Linked DNA regions of Cricetulus griseus. The protein of the gene in region 2 interacts with the protein of the main gene of each other region in a biochemical or structural test. Links are inferred from orthologs where the notes say so. Each region holds a gene or a part of one and is shown on either strand. Other genes may lie near its edges.

What was found.
Region 1: the proteins of Rala (region 2) and Exoc2 are reported together in a solved structure, tested with the Homo sapiens proteins (2 studies listed by BioGRID, with this or other methods). The link is inferred for Cricetulus griseus from reciprocal best matches to the Homo sapiens genes RALA and EXOC2.

What each region holds. Positions count from the first base shown.
Region 1 is NC_048596.1:251,627,499-251,631,329, forward strand, and holds part of Exoc2 (exocyst complex component 2), read right to left. Parts: intron 2,000-3,831; coding exon 1,854-1,999; intron 1,728-1,853; coding exon 1,646-1,727; intron 892-1,645; coding exon 789-891; intron 1-788. UniProt on the Homo sapiens protein: Component of the exocyst complex involved in the docking of exocytic vesicles with fusion sites on the plasma membrane.
Region 2 is NC_048596.1:240,540,554-240,543,351, forward strand, and holds the end of Rala (ras-related protein Ral-A), read right to left. Parts: intron 2,487-2,798; coding exon 2,364-2,486; 3' UTR 569-2,363; downstream 1-568. UniProt on the Homo sapiens protein: Multifunctional GTPase involved in a variety of cellular processes including gene expression, cell migration, cell proliferation, oncogenic transformation and membrane trafficking.

The DNA.
Region 1 (3,831 bases), about 11 Mb from region 2:
TAAAACTTACTGCCTGCTCCTAACATGCCAGGTATTGGACTAACCCCTTAAATGGTCACCTTCCCAACAACCCTGAGACGCAGCTGTGCTGCCTGTCATGCTCTCTCTGCAGATGAAAAAATGGAAGTGCAGGACTCATGTGAGTGTCCCAGAATGAAATTCTCATTCCTACAGACATGCCCAGACTCCTCAGCTTCTCTACTACCCTGTAAGGTCCAACTCCTCTGATTCCACTGGTTAATTTTTTAAAAGTATTCCCAACTTAATATTCCCACAACTACTTCTTTCAATGACTGCAGGCTTGCAAATAGACATATATTCAAAGGGAAACCTTCCATAGCCTTTGTTACCGTCAAACTATGGCACATTCCAGAGCTACAATTTCCCTCCCAGGAGTACTCTGGAGGATTTAGTACTCTGCACTAAACCACAGTGGAGCAACCACCTTGTGGAGCATGGGTGGCATCTGCAGGGTGCAGCACCCAGTCCACCTGGGAGTCACATGGTAACCATTACTCAGCAGGAGGAACAGGTGACTGAGCAATGAGCTTGCTTTTCCTTTGGACAGCCTGACGGGTCGTCTTTCCTTCAGAGGGGGAGTTCTTTATAACTGTTCCCAATTTATTCGTATTCAAAGAACACTCATGTCCTATACCAGATCCCCCCAAATTTATATTGTCTTCCCTTTCACCACTTCATTAGCTTCCTGACTGCCCCCAAATTAGCTTTGCAGGGTCCACAATATATCCCACATATACATGCAATCTATCAGAATTCTTAAGTTTTACCTTATGTAACGCTTTTGGTCATGTAAGGTTGATGGGGTCTCCAGCAATTTCTTTAGAAGTAATTCTCTTAGATCTTCAATCCCTGCTTCTACTTCAGCATAATCTATTTTTAAAAGATTCAAGATTCACAGAACTGAACTTAAAATCAAATTTCAGAAAGCAGAATACTGGTTGCTTTTTGACTTTGAAGAGACACAAGGGATCTTTGTGGAGGGATCAAAACACACCATCCCAAGTGTATGGGAGGGCATAAGCATTCGTCAGAATTCAGTGACCTGTGACATGTAAGGTCTGTGCATTTCACTGCATGGAAATTTCACCACAGTAAAGAAATAAATCCTGCTTTTTGAGAGTTTATGGGTTTCATTCTTTTTAAATTTAATAAGACCTATGGTATTTCTCCTAGTTAATAAGTTTTTAACCAAAAGATATTTAAGCTTTTTTCCCCCTGTAAGCCTGGTATGCAGAGTAATTTTTAAACGTATTGAGTTTGCTTTAGAGTAAGATTAGAACTCATAAATACACTGTTTTAGCTTGAAGAGGGAAGACTGAAGTGCACATTTCCATGTCTGTAAAAGGCTTGTCGCTGCTTCTTTCCCCTATGAAAGCTTTTAATAGCATTGTGGTTAATAAACAGCAAAGAATATCTGAGACTAGTCCCCACCATAAATGCTCATTCCCACTACAGGGCAGTAAGAAAACTTGTGAGGTTATTTTAAACTAATTGTTTTACATTTTAAAGAAAGCACTGCATAAACAAGATCTAAGATGCAAGTAGCACTCTTTGTAGAATATACACTCCACAGTCTTACAAAAGGAAAGGAAAGGTCTGAAAGTAACAAATTCTTGAGTCTTACATTTCTTGAAAACTTGCACCTCTGTTTTCCCAAAAAGCGACTTGGCTTTTTCATAATCATTAATAACCACATCATAATCCCCCTAAAAATAAGAAGCACACAGTGAGATCGTCAGCAAAGAACAGGAAGCACATTGATTAATATAAAATAGCTTAACACATCTTTAAGGTGGGCAGCATCTATAACTGTACATACACATAAACTCTACCTTTTGAATGTTCCGTTTAATATTGAGAGGAAGGTTGAAGAGAAATTTAAATCGCTGTAGCACGTTGAGTGCATTCCTAGTGGAATCTGCCTTGTCTTTTCGACCTAACACTTCTTGAAATAATGTGTCAGCAGTATTACTTGCTCCTGTTTCCAACAGACAAAAAAGAACATAGGTGACAGCGAACTGAATTTGAACACTAAATACAAACGTTAGATTGCTACTGTATCTTTACACTGAAATTCAGTAGACATTTTTAAAAAGACACTTATATAGTGACCTTTCATAGTCTGCTAAAAAAAAATTAAGTCCTTTCATATGTTAAGAAAAGTATCTAATTAAAAGTAACAACATTTACTAAGCCAAAGTAATTTTCTCCAGTGTGAATCTATACTTATTTTAGTTACTCTTCTAAATTTTTTAGCAATTGTGGGTGCTTAGGCTATTTCATTATTTTGGACAATGAGGAACACACACACACACACACACACACACACACACACACACACACACACACACACCAATTAAGTTCAATTAATTCTGTATCAAACTATCAGGTAAAAAATGAGATATGAGAAACTGTTTTCAGAAAAAAAAAAATTTTTAAGACATTATACCTAACCCTACTTTTCGACAGAATTATCCCTCTATGTTGTAGGGACAGAGGATTATATAAACTTAAATGACAACACCAAAACACAGTATCATTACTGTTTTTTAAATCAGCAGAATTTTATAATATCAGGTACAAACAGAATATTTCATAAGATTCTTTCCTTTAAAAAGTACAAATTATACGTATCACTTTAATGAATGCTATTTTTCTAAGGCAAAATTTGCTATATACAGAAATAGTTTAAATTTTGCAACATGTGAATTATTTTTAATTAGCTACAAGAGAGAGGATAAACTGCTTTCAGCTGTTTGACCTGCTTGTAAAAAGTTTCTACATTATCTGGTCTAGTGACTATACTTTAAGCAAAGATGAAAAACTCACCTCGTCTCACTGGGTGGCTTGCACACCATAGCCACACTGTGGGTGGCCTGATCCTGTTAAAAGTCGTCTTTGTAACATGATTGTTTTATCTAAATAATGTTTAAATTCTGTTGAAATTGTAAAGGTCTGATATAAAAACTTCGTTTGGTCAAGAGAGCTGTTTTTCCCACATGCTATTTAATGTGGATACTAAACCTCTATTGTGGGATGAGAAATACATTTCCTTCTTACCACCAAGCCGCGAAATAAAGGCTTGATTGAGTATTTGAAATCTGACTAGAATTTAAAAACTTTCTTCAAGAAAAACTATCTTAAAGCATTTGCTTATCATTTTAAAAATAGAAATGTCATGAGTTTAAGCTTTGTAACTGGATAAGCACATGGAACAGAATCTTTTTAAAGGGTTACTTATTTATATGTGAAGTTTTGGTCTTAGACCAGCAAATTCCTTTTTCTATGCAACAAAAGAACACAGCAAACAGTCTGAGTTCAAAGCTGAATTATTCTCATTACAGTAACAAGAAATTCCCAGCTAATAATTTTAACCCCAAATATATGAAAATAAGAACAGGTAGAAAACATACTATTAAATATATACTTTTTGTAGGAAGAAATTATCAACTATGAAAAAATTCAATTTATGCCAAAATTTGTGAACTGAGAATTTGAATTTATGCAAGTTTGAAAATTATATAGACAATTTCTGTCAAGAAATTATGATTCTGCTATGATTTTTACTGTAGTTCATATAGTTCATATTCTGACAGCTGGGGGAGAGAGTAAATGATAAAATATATGAGAGATTAATGAAACCAAGATCTACAAAGCAGTCACAAAGTGCTCTAAGTATCTGCTTTTACAGGAGACAAAAGCACTGTGCAGGACAGTGGGGGTCCTCACATGTGGGACTAATGATGCAGACAAAGACATCAGCTAGGTGTCCAAAACTCATTGACAGAAATCCTGCTCGTATGCTAATCC
Region 2 (2,798 bases):
CATTAAAGCAACTGAAGTTAAAAATGAAACCTGACATTCTGATTTAGTCTAGAACTTACCTGTTTTGAGGTGTTTAGTTGAATTATTCCAGCTCTAATACAAATAAATGCACTCCTTCCATCACTGCTCAGCAGTTAAGGTAGTTAATCTGAAAGGATGTGCTCTTCTAACTCAAGTCTATTCAACAGTTAATGTGAAAGGTAACAGGGTTGTCAGGCACTCCTACTCACCTTTCGAAGCAAAACTGTCTTTGCAATGTTCTGATTGGAAAACAAATACAAATCTGCCATCTGTCCATTCTGGAGTTTAGAAGCATCTGAAGGCAAAGGCAGCTGAGATTTTTAACACAGTGCAGAGCCCATCTGCCAGCAACCGTACAAAGGAACCTCCCATCCAGAGCAGCAACTTAAACCTGAGCACCAACTCCGCCATAATTTGAGAAATCTCCCATTACAGGAAGGTACCTCAAACTGATGCTCAAAAGACTCAGCAGTCTTCATATCGGATCAAGATTCCCAGGGGGTAAAGTAAAAAATATCACACTGTAAACACCAATTAACACCACAAACATTTTTAAAAAAGGAAGTTTATTGGTCTTTAAATGGCTCAAATTGCAAATAAATGAACCGGGTAGTGGCATCAGCCTAAGACATGTGATGCATCTCTGTCAGCTGGCTTCATAGCACCTGGTACCCAGGGGAGGGAAATGTCTCAAAGCAAATTGCAATGTTAGTGGTTAGGACCCTGGTTCAACAGACTGCAACGAATGCACGCAGCCATGCTGGGCCTGCTGGCTGGGGTTACACAGGGAACTCTAATTTTGCAAATGGCCTAGTCTGTGAAAATATTAAATCAAACCCTTTAAGGACAAATATTTATGATATGCTCAATGTAGTATCTAGACAGCAGAGTTCCTGAACGCCTGTCTCTGGTAACTTCATGTACACACTTGTTTCCTGGAATGCCTGAGCATCGATTTGACCTGATGAGATTAGGACTGTGCATCAAGAAAAACTGTTTAATCAAGTGTCTTAGCCCCACAGAGGAAAAGAAAAATCTAATAGTGGTTTACTTCCCATTGAAATTACGCTCCTAACAGCATGCTTGAATTCTTGCAGCAGAAACCTCACAGTCTGACATTTGGTCAATGTGTGCCAAACATGTTCAACTGCTTCATGTTAACCTTAGGAAATACAGGTACAGTACTCATTGTGAACATAAAGAGATTACAAAGACTCCTTCTAATGCCCAAACTGTACCCTCATGAGTACACATTTAGAACTGACAGGTGGCAAGCATCTTTCCTCAAGTGTCCTAGTGCAAACTACATTAGCTTTCCTGATGGTCTTCCCTATGCCCTGCTCCCAGGAGATTAAATACTTAAAAGTGAATCACTTGCAGAAAGTGATTACTGGGGACCAGCATCTTACATAAAAGGAGCATTCACTCAAACTTAATTGGTATTCACATCCATAATCTAAAATCATTGTATAAACATATGCTGGCCCTTCATCTTTAACTACCTTATAGTTCATTAAAACCAATGAAGGAGCTCTGGAACTCTAAGAACCAGAGTATGGCACACATCTTTAATTTGGTCAGACTCCTAGCAGACACATATTTCTAAGGAATCTTCCTTGTAGCTTTACACTGCCTGGCAAGATAAAACCTTGTTACCAGTCATGTGGGCAGTGAGTGGCCCCAAGTGCTAGTGAGAACACACCCAGAATGATGTAACTGGATTATTTTCAGTTTCTAAATTAAGGCATATTCAAAAATGTCCATGTATAAGTTCACACCATTTTTCTAAGTTAATTACCAGGTAATTAATATGCAGATTCACAGATGAATTACTCTCAGTTTTACTATATGCAACAACCATGCCAGTAACTTCTTCTTCTAGATTTGCATAACAACAGTTTAAAAAGTGGTACAGTTAACATGTTCACAATTGTCATTTATCAAGGCAGTAGAAGACCAAGACATTTTAAAATAATATAAAATTTAAGCTTTATAATAAACACCAGAGGAAGTGGCCGTTCCTCCCACCCCACCCCATCTCACCTCTTGATTAACAGTTCAAGAAAGATCCCCCCTCCCCCCCAAAACAAGCTTACACGCTACATTCAGGACTGTGATAAATGTAGGCAATTATGAAATAAGTTGAGCTCTGCTTCTTGTGAAGCCACACAATTTCTTTTTTAAGTGAATTTGACTTCCAGTGCAGTTCCAATTCATGCTTTTAGTGATACATAACAATTTCCAAATGTTAGAGTAATTTCAGTCAATTGAGCCTTCAATGGCAATGCTTATAAATTACATTTATTAGTATGGTCAGGATAAGAAAGGAGTTTGGGCTTTGATTATAAAATGCAGCATCTTTCTCTGATTCTCTTGGCTAAACTTTTCCTCTTCTTTTTTCCATTCTTTTCTTTGCTGTCTTCCATCTTTCTGGCTCGAATTTCCCTCATTAAATCAAAAAATACCTAGAAATAAGAAAGCAGAATAAATAAAACAAGCAGCAGCATGAAGTCAGTGCTTCTGTGTCACAGCAGCTAACTTTGGGGATGAAAGAATCACATGTAAAAGTTCCTTTAGGGGCTACTCACAGGCTGGCAGGTGCTGCCCTGCCTCTAAGATGGCTTGTTGGTGAGGGCAGGCAGAGAAGAGCACATAAGCAAGCTGGAGTCTCCAAGGAGCTTGAGAAAAAACAGCAACTGTTCTAAATGACATATCCCTCTTGGTAAAATGTTCGTACAACAAATCCCATCTACTTATTGTAATTCTCAAGATTCCAA